4 linked regions of the Drosophila melanogaster genome follow. The protein of the gene in region 4 interacts with the protein of the main gene of each other region in a pairwise test. Each region holds a gene or a part of one and is shown on either strand. Other genes may lie near its edges. The genes, in order: Art6, Dlg5, Hsp60B and CG4168.

Region 1 (3,383 bases), on a different chromosome or scaffold from region 4:
ATCAAAGATCGCTGGCTCATTTGTGGCGCTTTTGTGTGCGCTAGATAACCAATATTTTATAATCATGTCCAATAATGGTGTGCATATTAATTTCATGGGCGCATAAAGCAACTTTATGGCCTTTTAAGAACTCCCATTAACAAAGACCAGTCCGTCTGTGCACAAACACAAAACGAGCTGACAAGAGATTTTTTGGGCAACCAAGCTCTCGAGATGCGAGAAGCGAGACAATGCAAATGGCTAAAATAGTAAATAGAGTTATAAACGCATAAAAGGCGTTCATTGTGGGCCCACGGCGTTGGCTTTCACAAATTTATACGACGGCTCATCAATTAATTAGAGCCCGGGGAGGGACACATTTTCACATTCTCCCCTCGGCAATGACCTGGCTTTGAAATTAATTTGTTAGGAAAGTCGTTAACATTTCGTCTGTCCACTTTCTAAGCCCCGCCGCGGATTGATTGTCATAAAAAAATATAAAACCCAACCCTTGGGCAATTGGAGGCCCTAGATTAACGACCCATTTTATGGCAGTTATCAATTCGGTTCAACATTCTTATGTTTTTAAATTTCAAATGAACTTCAGGTTCATCTTGGTGAGGAGAAGCTCTTGAAGCTCTCCACTCGCGTTCTTTCGCCACGGAAGCTGATGTGCAGATCAAAGTTCATGCCACGTCCATCTTGTCCGGTGGGCGTCATGGCCAGCACACCGCGCACCCGATCCCTAATCCTCACATACAGTGGCTCATCCAGATGGAGCACCGTCTGCTCCCAGTGCGTCCATGGCGAATGCGGCGAGGTGGTCAGGCTTACGGATTTGTTCGACTTTCCCGACGGAAACAAGACATCGAAGTACAGGACCAGCATATTGATAATTCCAGTTCGCATGACTTTTAATTGAAAGTTCGATTGAAACTCCACCGGCTGGTTGCGGGCCACAGCCAGGTTGGTGGAGTGTATGAAGCATTCGTCGGTGAGCAACTGCTGGATGGGCACAAACTCCACCAAGGGCTCCTGGGAGAATGGCTTCCTCACACAGCCCATGTCGATGCCCTCCACGTTGCACCAAAAGTTAAGATTAGTCCGCCGATGCGGATCATAGGCCCCCATTAACCAGAGGTTTCCAGTGCTGGGCAGGATTCGCCCACCACGCGTGAGCCACTTATCCCGGGCAAACAGCACGGAGTTTATCATGGCCTCCATATACAGAGCATTTCTAATAATATAAAATGCAAGTCATTTTAAAATTTTATAACTTCATTAATATACCTTACCCCATCCATTCGGAAACTATGATGTCCACCTTCTCAATGCCGTCGGGCAGCTCCACTTGCTCCACCAATCCCTTGACCACCTTCACCACATTCTCCTTCTGATTGTCCCTTATTATCTCCTCGGCTATATCCGCTATATCGGTGCATTCAACGGCTATAACTTTACTGGCACCAGCCTCGGCGGCGAAAAGGGATAGTATACCCGTGCCACAGCCCACATCCAGCACGATCTTGTCCTGGAATAGCCCTCCATCCTGGACGATGGCATCGCGAAAAGCCTGCATGCGCACCGAGTCCCTGAGCATGTTCATGTGGGTCTCCAGGCGGGAATAGGATTGAAAATAGTCGCTATCTTTGCCCTCCAGGAAGGGCAATTTTTGGTTGGCATTAAAAGACATTTTCAGGATTATTCAGCTGCAATAGAATTTCACAAGTCACATAAAACATACACATCTATTTTAATGGGACAATATTTGATAGAAAAATCATGGCCATCTGGTCATCTGTTTGCCTCGAAAGGGTATTCAAATTATATCTTATATTTTATAGATAAGATAAGAAAGGCAGCTTTCATATTTAAGTGAGTAAAATGAAGAAAAGATCCGAATATTCACAAATTTTGCCACATTTGGTCACAAACAAAAATCTATAAAAATTGGTTATAACCAGCATAAAATGATGAACAATACTACGTCATTCTATCGCCATTATTTGCATTTGAATGGCCGAAGCAAGATAAATCAAAATTTTGCATTTAATGGACCCATTAAAATCGACCAAAAAAATCGCCCCACTCAAAAGGCCGTGAAAGAAATGTGCCGCCAACACCTTAACACCAGGCCATAACTCGCTTAATCCGCCCAGCCCCGAATTTATTTTTATGGCCAAAACTTAATGATTCCTCTCTTCCCCCTCCCCCCCCCTTGCACCAACCAACAGGCACTTTCACTGTGAGCGTCCAAAATTGTGCAACTTGTTTGTGGCCAACGGTAAACGAAAATAGTTGAAATTAAAGGCGAAAAAATGCCCGTCATCATTTTGTTTTTTTAAGTGTCATAAAAATATCTCCATAAGCAGATGCAGCTATTAAATGGGCTCATTAATCAATTTAGTCACAGAGCAACAATAAAAAGGAGCACACGCACACACACGCGACACTCGAGCATAATAAACTATAATTTTTAATGTTGCTAAATTTTATGCTAATTTGCCATTTCGGGCGTTCCATAATTAGGTTCGCTCCTCCGGCCGGGGGGTCGTTTCGAATTTGTTCGATCTGCGATTGCGTTTGGGCCCGGCCAACAATCGTTGCCATTTGTTTTGGACGGCTTTAAAAACCTATAAAACTTTTGGCACAAATCAATTAAAAAACGACGTAAGTTTCCATTAGTGTTCGTTGTTCCCAATGAGAATGCCACCCACTGAGGCGATTAAAATGCGACGATGCTTTGCATACTGAATCCATTGTCAATCCGATGTCTTCTCTCTGGCCAACTTGGAGCTCTTCTATCGCGTATTACCAAATGTTCGATATGGGCCAATTATGCAAGGTGTGGGTGGCCCACCTCGATTTTCGATTTTCACCTGCTGACCCACAAGCCAAAAGCCATAAAATGCTGACTTTTATGACCTTAACTTAAATGGAATTTAATTTTAATTTTCCAGATAATAAAATGGAAGTTTATTGATATTTATCCAATATCCCAATGATATTTGAGTTTACAAATTTATATTTTTTAATACCAATTACAAGATTAAGTTTCTAAGAGGCATTTTTAGTTTTAACAAGAAACAAGATTAAGTTCTAATTTGCATTTTTAGTTTCAACAAATAGTTTATAGATTTTGGTGAGTATTTGTGTTTCTAAGGATCCAGAATTGCAACTATATTACAAAAATATGTTATTTAATGTACTATATATTTTTTAAATGATTATTCACAGTAGTTTCCCATCTCCGAGCCCTATTTAATCAAAGTCATCTATTCCTCTCCTGGTTCATTTGGCCCGAATTCCTGTTTACAAGTAAAATTGTAACCACAGTTGGAGGACAATCAGGGTTGGATGAAAATGATTGGGGAGGGTCGATTGTAATCAACCACTTCATCAAA
Region 2 (4,959 bases), 3.7 Mb from region 4:
TGTTTTTGTTTAATTTTTAATCCGATTTTGAAGACTCACAAAGCGAAGGCGTTCAGACGGTTGGCTGTCCCGCAGTAATGTGCTTCTGAAGATCTCCTCCAGCCTCTCGATCTTCTCGTTGTCCTCTCGTTGCATCCGCTCCAATTCCGACAGCAGTCGTTCCTTTTCAGCCAGGTGCATCTGCTCAGCCTGTCGTGTCCTGTTAAGCCAATGATCCAATTCGTTTAGGGCACCCAAGTACCGACTCCGTTGGGATTCGTTGATGTAGGATCTGCTGCTCGGCGTTACGAGGGAGTACTTAAATCGACGCAGGTGGTGTTCCGTCAGTCGTTTGGTCAGTAAATTGTTGTCGTGGCTCACCCAGTGGTGATCCTCGACTTCCTTGAACAGGCGATTCATTAGCTTACTTTTGTCTAGATTTTTTGACCGCAAATAGTCTGTATTAACGAATATGTCCACAACTTTCTCAATAAGCCCATCCAGATAGCTTTGGACCATTTGACCGATGGAAAAAGTCGTAGGGATGGAATTGAGGCTAGATGTGGAGGACCTGGACTCAGATGTAATGTCCTTAAAAGTGGCCACATGACTCGATTTGAATTGCATTCCCTGCAATCTCCAATCGCTTTCGTCAACAGATTCTAGTCCTGAGGGCGATGGTATCTCCGTACCATGCACATCGTCATCGTTTTGCGAGGAAGGTGCTTCATAATTGGATTCGCTGGGAATGAGGCTTTCCATCGACGAGGACAACGACTTGCGGGCCAGTTGAATCTGTAACTGTTCTAGTTCCGAGCCCGGCACCTGCTGCATTTCCACACTCTTCTTATCGATGCCCAGATTGTGATCTGTAGTCCCGATATCACTAAGTTCATCCCAATCGGGAATGTTCCTGAGGGTTTGGAGGATATCAAAGCGCATCCTTATGTTCGAGTCGGAGGATACACTCATTTGGTCTTCGTGATCCGTGGTATTTCCCAATTCCGAGTCCATTTTATCGCCATCACTCTGATTGGTCGCCTCCTCCACGCTGTCCGTAGAACTAGTTAAGTGCGGATGTGAATGAACTATTTTAAGCTGAGTTTCCGCGCTGGCTTCGAGTTTCCTAAGCTTATATAAATGAAACGGCTGTTCTTCTATATAAGATAATTTCCTTTTAACTGCGCTACTTGACTTTTTCGATGGTAACGAGCTTATGGAGACCACCGATCTGCGAACATTCTGTTTGGGCATTCCTCGTTGGGAGGAAGGAATGGGTATGGGTACTGAAGTACTCCAGACACTTGGCGCGGTGGATGCGATACGCTCATCGGAATCCGTACTATGACTCGGGATGCTCATTATACTAGTTATGTGGCTTTCGCCGGAAGTTGCAACCTTCTTGGCGCTCGCATCGTTGACTACCTTTTTTCGATCTCTTTTGCCCTGCAAATTGACCAACTTCTTGGGTATTATTTTACTTTTAATGAATAAAAATTTTGCTCGCCCTGGCTTGGCCATTTTCCAAAAGGTTGTTAGTGCGTGCAACTTGCGCAAAGTGCAGCAGTTGCAAAAAGTATTAAAAATTACAAAGAACAAAATAAACAACAACGGTTTGAACTAAATATTGTGTAATAATATCATTATATTTGATTAAAATCTCCCAAGTTTTCTAATGGGTTTGGAACATTGCTAAGCGAAGACACTTCCAGCACGATTGCGCGCCAACTTAGCGTGTACACACTCCCACTTAGTACACATATACAGCGCTGCCAGCCGTTCGTAAAGAGGAGCGGCAGTTCCGATATAGAAGGAATGATCTTATATGTACATTTTACATTCGGGATTTATTTGTTTTTTAAGAAAGCTGGGCTAATGAATCGATATTAAACAATACTATCGATTTTAATATTGTCTAAAGAGACAGAGTGTATTATTTATCGGTCACTCCGCGGTCACACTGGTGACGTTTTAGTGAAGAAGTTGTGTTGTTTTTTTTTATTTCATTTCGTTCAATTTTCGTTGGCCATTCGTCATCGCTTTCGTCGCAGTGTTCTTCCAAGAGTGTCGTGCACCGTAGAGGTTGACTTTTCGCCCAACGATCCAAGAAACTCAACTTCCGGAATCCGGATGCGCGAGCGAAAACGGTAAAAGTCGTCGGTTGTCCCGTTCAACGTCCGCCTGTTGCATCTCTCCCTCTCTTTCCCGCAGGGCTGGAATTGGGGTGGAGCTCGTCCCCTCTCTTTCGCGCGCCCATTCAGCTGTTGCGTTCGCGTGCGTGTGTGTGAGTGTGCGTAATAAGATTTTCGATGTAAAGGAAAATACGCTATATTTTCCTATTTTTTGGACAAATAGGCGTGCTGCTGGGCCAAGATAAACTCCAATCAAGGAAAAAAAGGGTTTATATAACTCGCAGTGCTTTCCACCATTGTGTGTTCGCCAGCTTTTCTTCTCTTTCATTCGGCCAACTTGTTTTGCCCGCCTGCGAGTGTGTTGGTGTTTCGGTAAGTGTGTGTGTGTGTGCATACATGTTGCTATTAATTTACGCTTTCTGCTCGGCTGCTTCAATTAATTCTTTAGCTTAGTCTCGATGCTTTAACTCGACTGCTTAATTGCCACACATTTCATTTTCGCAAGCAATAGCCGTTTGTAAGAGTTACCAAAAACTGCGTAACTTCCCTTTTTTCTACACTTCGCCACCTATCCCCATTCTCCCTACTGCCTACCCACGCCCACTCCCGCCCATTTTCTCATTCCCCATTGCGGTTGTATTTAAATTCGATTCGTTCGATTGTGAAAATCGCGGTTTCACAAAAATTGTGAAAGTTTCGTTTTTCCAATGCCTTGCTTTTCATACTTACTCGCACACTTCAAAAAATACAGCAATGGTCAAAATAGTATTACTAGTAAAGTTAACAAAAAGTTACAGTTTATTTTAGATAAAAGGTTAAAAGGTAAAAGTTTGAATCCTCACCTTTGGATGTTTAAAAAAAAATTGTATAAACCAAAAATAAATTTTCTAAAAATTAATAAATAAACGGATAAGATGAACGAACTCCATATCAAAGAAAAAACCAAACCCCAATTGGAAAGCAGAATGCATTACGCTAAACAAATTAGTTAGACAGCCTGGAACCTCGCTTAACTTTAACTTTAGCACGAACCTAATTAATCTTTTGTACTTTTACTCATCAGCATACCCTTATGTTAAGTATTACCTAAAGATGCTGTGATGGCGAAGATGGCATCTGGAGATCTATCGCTGACTAGTACGAGTAGCCAGGAAGGTAAGACGCCGTATTCATTTAAAGTACCTACCCATAGCGTCTTTAATTTTAGAAGAGAGCTCGGAGTATGTGGGCTATGATAATACCCTACGACCGCCGTCCAATTCCAGCGGCAGCACCACAGCTGCCAACATGTCCAACAACAACGGGCCCTCGAAGGGCGTCAGTAGCGGTGTGGGCGTGTCGGGCATTTCTGGTGGAAACGGCGCAAATTACGATATACTGCAGGCGCAGTACAAGTCCGCACTTTTGGAGCTAAATACCCTACGCCACCAGCATGCGAACACCAAGAGGCGATGCGATGAGTTAGCCACCGAGTTAACTCTGTACCAGGAGCATTACGTGGCCGATCGTAACAAGTTCACCGATATGGTGGAGGAGAGCGCCCGTTTCAAGCGTCTGCTATTGGAGACCCAAAACCAACAGAGCCAGCAGGCCCAGAATGGAAATAGCCAAGTGCCGCCAGTCGGCAGTGGGAATCCTTATTATTTTGGCAAGACGCAGGGATGCGATGGAAGCTGCAGTGAGAAGCTGGCCGAACTGAAGAAAGAGCGAAATATGGTCGCCGTGGAGAGGGAGAAGTACAAGAAGTCCTACATCGAGCTTGAAAAGGATCGCAACTACTACCGGGAGCGAGGCGATGAAAATCAGAAACTGAAGGTTCTTCTCTCCCAGGAGAGTAAGAATGTGCTTTCCCTTACCGAGGAGCTTAATCAACTGCTCTCAGAGAAGGACAACGTGCTGCAGGAGCACCAGAAGATGTCCGACGATCTGGTTCTGGCCAACAAAGAAATTGAGAGGCTCAAAAAGGACGAACAGCTTGCCAGGGCTGAAATCAAGGTTCTACAGCTGGCCAATGCGGACCTTAAAAAGCGCGATCTTCTAAAGTCTCGCGATAGCTCGTGGTCCAAAGAATTTCCGAGTGGAAAGGAGCTGGAGAACAGCAAGGAACTGGAAAAGCTGCGCAAGAGCTTAGAAAAGGCCCTCTCGGAGGTGGAGCGTTCAAGCCAGGATGCCGAAGAAGCGAAGCGCGTAAGGGATTGGGCCATATCGCAACGTGAGAAGATCGTGCAGGAGCGGGATTCGGTGAAGACGCTCTGTGATAAAATGCGCCACGAGAGAGATAAAGCCATCTCCGACTCGCTGATGGCCATCCGGGATAGCGAAAAGATTAAAAAGCAGAAGGACGAAGCGCAGAAAAAGATCGACTTGTTGAAAGAACAAATGGAGCAGCAAGAGCGCCAAAATCTTGACAGTAACGCCTCCGGATCCCGACGCAGTTTCCGCCCAAGCAGTTACGAAGGTGAGGATCTCCTGGAAGTAGAGCTGTCCGGCTACGAGCACACGTCCGACCTGGGCATCATCCTGGATGACAGCAACAAGCGAAAATTAGTGTGTGGCGTTACCAGCAGTTCCCCCGCCTGCGGGAAGCTCAAGATTAACGATGTGATCTGCAAGGTGAACAACTTGGACTGCCAGTCTTTGTCGAAACGGATGGTTCTTGATGAGATCCGCGCCTGTGCTCCTCGTTCCCTCCTGCTCGTTTCCCGAACTCGTCACAGCAAACGGCACGCCTATTCTGTTCAGCTAAAGACTAGGGATAGGGATTGCCCGCATGGCCTGCAACTGGACATGGGAGTGTTCATTGCAAAGATCGAGCAAAATTCGCTAGCCTTCTACGAACCAGAGCTGG
Region 3 (4,538 bases), about 14 Mb from region 4:
GATGCTCGATGGGTCCGTCCACCATTTTCGGTTCGTTTGCGGGCCTCGATGAAAAATTTGCAAATTGGAATTACTTATTTATTGATGCATGTTTGATGTGACGCTCTTGTGGAGGCTCCCAGCCTCAGGCCCCCCTTCTTGCGCACTCACTCTCATGTAACGAATCGCTTTTTTAGCTGCGGGCCACAAATGAAATCTGCAAACACAAACCATGCAAAGTACGGGGGAAAAAACCGAGGGTCGGCTCACATGTGTGAGAAATTGCTGTTTGTTTTATGCAAATGATCATCGCATTGCAGCTGGATTCGCTCTGCCGGTCGCCGTTCCAAATTTTCGGCTGCAATTAAAAACCGAAAGTGTGAAGGAAGTGTAGCTTTTTGCAGACCAGCATAATGAACCGGTTGAAAGATATTTGGCCAGAAAACTGCTGGTGTAGGGAAAAGGCCAATAATTCACTTTCTCAAGTCATTTGGAAGGGTTCCCGACTGTTTTATACAATTCGTTTTCGATTGTCAATTTATATTTTAGATGAACACATAAAATTTAGACACTCAACAGATATTTGAACTATAGAAACGATTTGAGCTGGAGCGGATAACGGAAGCGGGTTCTACATCATCCCACTGTCAATGTCACGCACCTCTACTTGCTCCATGCCGGGAATAGCCTTGACCATTTCATTCATCTCCTCGGCAGTGGGACCGTCATTGCTGGCAGAAGCGCTCATTCCGCCACCAGCGCCCATTCCGCCGAATCCACCTCCCATTCCTCCCATACCTCCCATACCACCCATGCCTCCCATACCACCCATGCCACCCAATCCACTTAAGGCTGCCAGCTCCTCTAAGCCACCCATGTTCATGTCCAGTCCATCATCCATTCCGCCGCCAGCTCCTGACAACTTGGACAAAAGATCATCGTTCCGGGAGTCGGTGATAACCACCTCGGTGGTGCTCAGAAGAGAGGCCACTCCAGCTGCATCCGTGATGGCGGTCCGCAGCACCTTTGTGGGATCAATAATGCCCTTCTCGACCAGCCGACAGTACTCATCGCCCATGGCATCGTAGCCGTAGTCTTCCGAGCCATTCAACACCTTGGCCACCACCATTGGGCCATCAACTCCGGCGTTTTGAGCTATGGTCTGGCAAGGCATCCTCAGGGCATTGCAGACGATATCGACGCCCTTCTGGAGATCTGCACTCTCCGTTTTGAGTTCCTGGAGGTAGGGAATGCAGCGCAAAAAGGCCGTACCGCCACCTGGGACAATTCCCTCTTCGATGGCCGCTCGAGTGGCATTCAAGGCGTCCACCACACGGTCCTTTTTCTCATTCACCTCAACTTCACTGCCTCCACCAATGTGCAGCACTGCCACGCCCTTCGTGAGGGCGGAGAGGCGTTGGCGCAGACGATCCCGCTGCTCTGGCTTGATTTGCTTTTCCGCCAGTTCATCTTGAATTTGCTGGATGCGCATTTCCAAAAGTCCTGTCTTGGGTTTGCCCTGCAGGAGCATGGTGCTGTCCTTGCTAATCACAGCCTCGCCAACCTGACCCAGATCCTCCAGCTTAGCCTCCTCCATTTTGGAATAGTTGATGTCATCGCCGAAAATAGTTGCTCCCGTGGCAGCGGATATATCGCCTATAAGCTCCTTGCGGTGGTGTCCATAGCTGGGCGATTTGACGGCGCACACCTGGAGGCCCAACCTGAGCTTGTTCAGGACCAAAGCATTGAGGGCTTCCCCGCTGATGTCCTCGGCTATGATGATCAGGGGACGACGCTGCCTCAGGGATTGCTCCAGACCTTTAACTATTTGCGAGAGTCCAGTGATCTTCTTCAGGGATATCATTACAAGGGCGTTGGCAAACTCCACCTTGGACCCCTTGGAGCTGTTTACGAAAAAGGGCGACACATAGCCGTTGTCGAAGCGCAGGCCCTGGATAATATTTAGCTCGTCCTTCAGGCGCTTGCCATCCTTTACAGTAATAGTTCCTCTTGGACCCACTTTGTCGGTGGCCTCACCAATGAGCCGCCCAATTTCAGTATCCCCGTTCGCGGAGAGGGTGGCTACTTGTTGGATCTCCTCACGCGTTTCCACTGCCTTGGACATTTCCTTCAGCTTGTCCTTTACGACGTCAACAGCTAACATGACACCTCGACGAATCTCCACGGGATTAGCCCCCATGGTAATCTGATTGAATCCTTCCTTGGCAATCGCTCGAGCCAAAACTGTTGCTGTGGTCGTGCCGTCACCCGCCGACTCATTCGTATTATCGGCCACATCCTGGACCAACTTGGCGCCCAGATTCATGTGCTGGTCCTTTAGGGCAATCGAGCGCGCGACCGTGAAGCCGTCCTTGGTGATCTTCGGCGAGGTCCATGGTCGCTCCACGATCACACTGCGACCCTTGGGCCCCATGGTCACAGCAACGGCATCAGCCAGAATATCAACGCCCCGGATCATCATTGCCCGTACTCCGGAGCCAAAGCGCACGTCCTTCGAGTACATCCGCGCGAAACAGCGACTAGAGGTAATCGCCTTGGGCACACACGACCGAAACATTTTGCACTTAAGTTTGAAACTATAATAAAAAAAAAACTTTCAAAACTTTTGGTTCTAATATTTTTTCGTTTGATCTCAGACACGAAGTGAGTGCAACTAATATGTAGGTTGTTGACTCGATACTGACGGACTAGACGGACTCGTTCAAGGCCTACTCCCATATTCAAATCCAAATTTTGTTTCCATTATCTTTAAGCTTCTCGTTTTATGTAACATGTGCAAGCCATTCTTCTTTATTTATATTGCTTTTCCTTGAGCACTTTTCTCTTTTTTCTTTTTTCTCTTTGCGGACAAGTTTCCAGGCAATCGCCAGATTTCACAACATTCATTTGTCTGGCGCCTGCCCGTCTGCGATCTGCGGCTCTGAAATCTTCGACAACAGAAGCCGTGCCTTCTGTTTGCCGGAATAAATTAGCGTGCAGCTAATAAGCCCCGACATTCTGGGTGGAGTCTGCCCATTTGCAGTTCTATTCGCCTCCATCGGCTGAGGCTGACCCACAAACAAGACCAGCGTGTGCAGATTTCCCAGAACTGCGGTGCGACTGTTCTGCACCGGAGGATGGATGCATTTTCCTCGGCTGACCGTTCCCATTTCGAAGGCAGCTGTCAAAAATTGTGTGCTGCCTACTGCAAACTAAAGAAATTCACACATTTTGCTGCAAGCCAAACGGCAAATGGAAATGGAAATGGGGAGTTTGAGGCGGAGATGGAAATGGAGATGGGATGAAAATGTTGGGTGCACAGCGCGCAAGAAGGCATTACTTTCGCACGATGAATTGCACTTAGGTATGAATGTTTAGAAATAGGTTTGCATATAAATTCAATGCGATTTATATGAGCTATCTCTCGTATTCTATACGTATAAAATAATGTCACATTTAGTTCAGTAGGTATAACTTTTTTCTGTGTGCCGCAGACGGGAATTGGAACTGGGGTCGGAATCGGGATCCGTTTCCTGGCCGCTTGACGCGTTGATTGCCATGTGCAAGCGGTAGCACAGTAGCCGGGTTTTGTGTCAAAAGCACGTCACCGATTTGAAGGGGAAGGGCGGAGGAGCTGATTGATGAGGCATTTGCATGTTCGACGACTCTTCTTCCTCTCGCAACCTTTCTCCCCATCTGCGCCAACTCTGCGACATGTGAAAGTGTCCATGGTGGGAAGACCACCTGGTGGGCTGTGCGATAATCGTAACTACAAGCGATCTGCAGGGTCTCTTGTCGGCTACAAATTACTTTCGCTGGATAGCGAATAAGCCTCAATCTATGATTAATTGCAGGCCATCTTCGGGGATTCTCCAATTCATTTCAGTATTTTTGGTGGGCCAAAATTAACCCACTGACCGTTGGCTGATGATTTCCTATTGGTTTTGGCAGATTTTTTGCCGGCTCTGTCATTACCCGCGGATGGATCCGTGGATCGAGCAGATGAAGTCGTTCGGGTAATTGTGGAGCAGACAGCAAAGAAAGTTTTAATGAGAAATGGATAGACTGCAGACGATAGACTGGCAGTTCAATCTGAGCATTTGCGTAAGTACCAGGCAGACGAAATTCCTGGATCTGGGATCTGGGGCAGCCAAGTGCAGATTGAGCTGATGGGAGCGATCTATCGATGAACTGCACTAAAATAAATAATTTGGTGGTCGTCATAGCAAATTATCAGGTTCAACAATTTTAAATGGCCAATAATTTTGATCTTGAATTACAGTAATTAACGGGCATATAAAATGTGTGTGTCATGTTTCAATTCTGGCCATACGCTAGCTGTTAGTGCATATTTCTGAGTGTAATGAGGCAGCTAAAGCTTAGCCTCAATTTAGCCTTTGCCCCCCTAGTTTTTTTGACCCAACTGTGGCCAACTCTGCGTCGCGGAATGAGTGCCTCTCATATTGTCACGTACCGGGCGGTGTCAAGAGTGCATGAAAATCGTTGGCCGCATTCACTGTAATTAACTTTTTGACTCGATTTGACTGAGGCTGGGAGCT
Region 4 (4,926 bases):
GACAAATAATAAAAAAAAGAGAGTCGATTTCCTCGGCTATCTGATACCCTGTACTCAGCGTTAGAGTGGGTAAGATGCACAATCTCGCCGTTTCTAGAATCTGCATTCTTAATATCAATGTTCAAAAAATATAGGGTCGAAAACTCATCCTTCTAACTGATACAAACTTTTCAACGAATGTTGTATACCCTTAACTCTAAAAGTAAGCGGTATAATTAAATACATGCATACATTTTTATAGCATTAATCGTTTATGTGCAACAATTTGATTTATTAATCTCATTACATTTTATTGGAAAAAATCAGACCAAAACTCCATAAAGTCAATCAGCAAAAGTGCCGTAAGGCAACCAAATAATTTAATCGACGGCATGTTATGGATATTTTATTTCTCTGTTCATTATAATGAGTTGATTAAGAGCTAGAGTAAACTTTCCAACCTGGCTAGACTCTGGTCAAGGAAAATTAACTTCGAGTGCGAAGTGTGGGAGGATGAAATGTACGCAGTTTATGATTGCCTTCACGCCTGTCTGGTCATTAGCCTAGGCACAACTTTGCCCCGAAAAAGCACATTTGCGGTCCCCGCATCCCTTGCTTTTTGTTTTCTTTTTTTTTATTTTGCATTTTCAGTAGTCCACAAATAAAACTTTTTTTGTTTGTTTATCCATGATGAGGGTTTGACAGAGATTGCTGTGATGGGGGGGAAGTGTAGGGCCAGAGGTCCTAAAGCATAAACAGATCAATAAAACAAGGCGAAGAAGAAAAGCCGACAGGACGACAGCCACAAAACTAGCTGAGGAATTCGCCCAAAAGAGGCCAAGAAATAACAGCGTCAACTGGCGCAGTTCCCATGCAAATTTCTCCAGACCCATGTATCTGCAACACCCCCGTCAGAAGAACCCAAGAACCCCATGGAACGGTGCCCATGGAACCCAGAGGCACCACGAGGACGACACTCTCCACGCCCATTAACTGTTGCCCGTCTATTTGTTTGTACAAATAATGTGTAAGCAGGCATATTTTTGTCAACGAGGCTAATTTCTGTCACAGATTTACGTGACAATGGCCCAGGCAAGAAGCTAGAGCCCAGAAGGCGCTGGGAAAGCCAAAGAAATCCGCATCAACACGCATACTCGGAATAAAAACACAACAATTACAAAACAGGTTTCATCCAGTGGGATGGGTTGGTGGGTGGTGGGTGGTGGGTGGCTTTGGACAAGTCTGGCAGTTTTTGGTCGAAATATTTTCGTTTCTTCTGCTGTCAGTGAAGTTGGTTATTCGTCGTCGTCGTTTTGCGGCCAGTTCGTAAAAGCCATAAAAAGAAATGTACCAAGCAGCAGTAGACAAAATAAAAAAAAAGAGGAGGCCCAAAACAAAACTGAGCTGTGAAGAACCAGCGTCGAAAAAAAACTGGGTTAGCTTGCGTACTCCCCCCAACATTCCCCATATTTCCCCACCTCCGTTCCATTGTTGCTCCTCGTTGTTTCTTTTTTTTTAGCACCTATGCACCGTTTTTGCGATGCACCCTGCTCCTGTCCGTCTTGGTTATTGTTGTCCAAGAAACTCAATGTGTGACACATATGCAGTCGCCACTCCCCCTGCCACCCACCGACGCCCACTCACCCACTCTGCCACTGCCACTGCAACACTACACCTCCAGATTTTTCTGCGCGTTCCACTTTTTCTTTCCATCATCTTAAAGACCAAAGACACAGATCCAAAAAATGTAGTGGTTGAGAAAAGTTTAAAACACTTATACTTTGTCTTTTAATCCTTCCTTCGAAAAAAATCTTTGTATGAACATTTATATTTCATTTGTATATACGTAGTTTCCTATTGTTTGCTACATATAAATGGCGATAATTTTTGGGAACCAAATTTGCAACCAAACTAAAATTGATCTAAAATTGTTAAAAACCACACATGTGTTTATATATTTTATTTGCCAAATCTACAGACATTTCGACTAACTCTCAGCTGTTATTTTAGTTGTTTGTCAAACAGCTGTTAGTTTATCAATAGCTCTCAATAAAACAAACTATCATTGCAAGTGTATGGTACCCAACATTTGCTTGTTAAATTAAAACCTTAAGCAAGTCCAACCTGATCCATGAACCAATCGAAATTGCATCCAATCCCTTGGACGGCAATGTAAATAGCCCGAGACATTTTCCCGATGCCTCAGCCGATCTGTGGAAACGCCAGTGAAGCGGCAGGATGCACTGGCCTGGCCATCAGAATCGGTGATTGACGCTGATACGTTTGCCACATTTAATTGGGAGAGTGGGTGGATCGCCACCCATCATCCGTCCACCACCCATCATCCACCCCCCGTCGAGGTTGTTTATTGACTGACAAGTGCTGCACATCCGGGCTGCGTTTGCGGAAATGAGCAAATGACTAATGACTGACCAGAGCGAAGGCACCCAAGGCGACGAGTGACCCTTGCCCACTCTGTTTTCTGTTTCTCCGCTTCTGTTTCTTGTTTACTGTGCGCTTCAATTAAAGCATCTTGCAGGAAATTGAACTTTTAGTCAAGTGCCTGGTCGAGTGAGTGGCTGGGAGTTGGAGGAGGAGGAGGTGGATGAGGATGATGATGTGGGGGGGCCAAGTGAGTGGGTGGTTCTTTGAGACAGCGACGGCGACTTGCTCATCAATCTGTTACGTACTTGACTTGTGGGTGGGTTCGTAGGTCGGCGGCTGTTCAGGGCTTGAAAAGCGTATCCGTATCCAGTTGTTGCATGTGCCTAGGCTACTTTTCTCTCCTTCGTTTGCTCTTTCTGCTTTCGTGCCACTTGAGTTTTGATTACTGATCACTTCACTTTGCAATCACCGCTTGATTACTTTTGGTATCATAAGCACTGCCGGATCTCCCTCGACCGATACGATCTCTGGTTAATGCTTCGCGGCTATCAAAGCCTATCTATTTGTGGTCACCATTTCGCGATTTTATCTAGCCGGCTAGAGGTACGAAATGTTGCCGTTGCACCAGCAACATCACTATACGGGCTGCCACTTGTGGCAAAAATGATAATCGGCGATGCTCACGCGCCAAATTACCAACGTGGACTGGCACATCCGTGCCACATTATGCGCATTTTATGGCACGTTGGCGACCTCGACACTCGCTTCGTTTTTAGATCACCCGAAGGCGAGGCATGCAACACGGAAATTGTTGTCCTAGGCGCAACAGACCCAAAAACCGAAGCCCCCGAAGTCAGTTGACACGACCCATGCCGCTGGTGCGAGAGCCCCAAAGCCCGAAGACCCACGATTACCGGAGCATCTGGGCATGCGCAGTGACTGAGCCGGAATTAGTATGCTATCTGGCAATGCTCTGTCATCAGGCGGAGTATTCAAAGAAATTCTAAACTGGACAGTGACTTGATGGGGGCAAAGACGAAGATGGATGTACAATAGGTGGATGGTGGGGGTGAGGTGCGGGAGATGGGCGACCGACCGGCCAGATTCAAGTTCAGGTCGCCCTTTGACCGCAAAATTCCGGCGGCCAGCTAATAAACTCCAGAAGAAGCCAAATTTGTTGTTCGAATTTATTGTGGAACATTCTTTCCAACTAACCCACAACTAAGACTGATAAATGGCCAAGCATACTGGCAATTTGCAAGTTTCTGACCGTTTTTAGAGCACTCAGTTAACCCCAAAAGTTTTATATGCCTCATCTAGGTGCGGCCCATTTCGGTCCTCTTACCCAGCACAGCTCCTTTTGCTGTTTTTAATCTACAATATTAGCCGGTAGTGATGTTTCAATTAATTTTTAAGGTGCACCCCAAACTGCCCAAGAACCGAAGAGCATAGAGATGGTTAAAGATATAAAGATGGAGGCTTTAAGATGCAAAATGGGGGCAGAGAACTCCGGACGAAGCCAGAACCGCATGCTAAGATATGATGGCAGATGCCAAGCAGGATGAATAAATGGCTTGGATGCAAAGTTTAAATTTTTCATAGTTGGGTGGCTCGGTTTGGTTCGCTTCGTTTCGTTTCGTTTGGGTTTGCTTTTCTGGGGCTTGAGTGGCAAAGTAAAATGTTCCTCATATTTGTCTTCTTGAGGTTTTCATCGGTCAAACTACGGAGCAATTGGACTTGTAGCACTAGCAGTAGATTATTTCATTAAGGCGAAACTAAGTTATGGTTAAAAATCATATCATATACCCTTTTTAAAACTCCCAAATGAAATAAACATCAAAATAGTGGACAAACAGCAATTGAACTATTTTTGAACTATTTATTTCTTAAAAGAAATATATTTAATTTATATAATTCAATTGAAAACATTTTATTTGGCTATTTACACATTTTAACGCCCATCTCACAGAACCCAGACACGGTTTTTACGAATTCTAAATACATTTAAAAGAAGTTAAAATCGGGTAAAAAACATTTCAAACATAAAGCTCACGGTCAAGATTATTCTTCTTTCGTCGGCACTTTTCATTTTCCAGAGCACAAGCGCTAGTTCCCTCAAAGTAACATTTGCCATCATAATTGCAGGTGGGCAAGATGCATTTTCCGCACGGCTTATTGCAGTTTTCTCCCCATGCAATTCCGATTAGCATACAGGCTGTTTGATTAACAATAAGAATGATCAAAATATTTAGAAAATCTTTAGCTTACCCAGAATAACTAAGAAAAACAATTTCATAATGATAGTAGCCGATTATAACTGACTTAAACAGTCTCAAGTACATTGCATTTTATTGGTTATATTGGTTAAGGTTAAATGCGTTAAAAAAGCATTACAATCCAATTAAATTTTGTACGAGATGGTATAATACGTTTAGTACATGTTAAAAATGAATGTGCGATTGACTCTAAACTTATTTTAGTCAGAAGAAATAGCTAACCGGTAGTCCACTAAATTCATTCATTCAGCTTGAGAATTTTCGGGTTAACTAAACTCATTAAGGT

What was found.
Region 1: the proteins of CG4168 (region 4) and Art6 interact in a two-hybrid assay, tested with the Drosophila melanogaster proteins (one large-scale study listed by BioGRID).
Region 2: the proteins of CG4168 (region 4) and Dlg5 interact in a two-hybrid assay, tested with the Drosophila melanogaster proteins (one large-scale study listed by BioGRID).
Region 3: the proteins of CG4168 (region 4) and Hsp60B interact in a two-hybrid assay, tested with the Drosophila melanogaster proteins (one large-scale study listed by BioGRID).

Annotation. Positions count from the first base shown.
Region 1 is NT_033777.3:13,944,111-13,947,493, forward strand, and holds Art6 (arginine methyltransferase 6), read right to left. Parts: upstream 1,703-3,383; 5' UTR 1,673-1,702; coding exon 1,275-1,672; intron 1,217-1,274; coding exon 589-1,216; 3' UTR 544-588; downstream 1-543.
Region 2 is NT_033779.5:11,514,033-11,518,991, reverse strand, and holds the start of Dlg5 (discs large 5), read left to right. Parts: upstream 1-1,910; 5' UTR 1,911-2,126; exon of another isoform or gene 2,127-2,190; 5' UTR 2,191-2,269; exon of another isoform or gene 2,270-2,334; 5' UTR 2,335-2,483; intron 2,484-3,174; 5' UTR 3,175-3,211; coding exon 3,212-3,266; intron 3,267-3,318; coding exon 3,319-4,959. Other genes in the region: CG4970 (uncharacterized protein), read right to left, coding at 40-1,500.
Region 3 is NT_033779.5:726,527-731,064, reverse strand, and holds Hsp60B (heat shock protein 60B), read right to left. Parts: upstream 2,704-4,538; 5' UTR 2,558-2,703; coding exon 611-2,557; 3' UTR 501-610; downstream 1-500. UniProt on the Drosophila melanogaster protein: Prevents misfolding and promotes the refolding and proper assembly of unfolded polypeptides generated under stress conditions.
Region 4 is NT_033779.5:15,197,405-15,202,330, forward strand, and holds the start of CG4168 (uncharacterized protein), read right to left. Parts: upstream 3,056-4,926; 5' UTR 2,670-3,055; intron 1-2,669. Other genes in the region: Sfp35C (seminal fluid protein 35C), read right to left, coding at 4,303-4,358, 4,418-4,579, 4,633-4,660.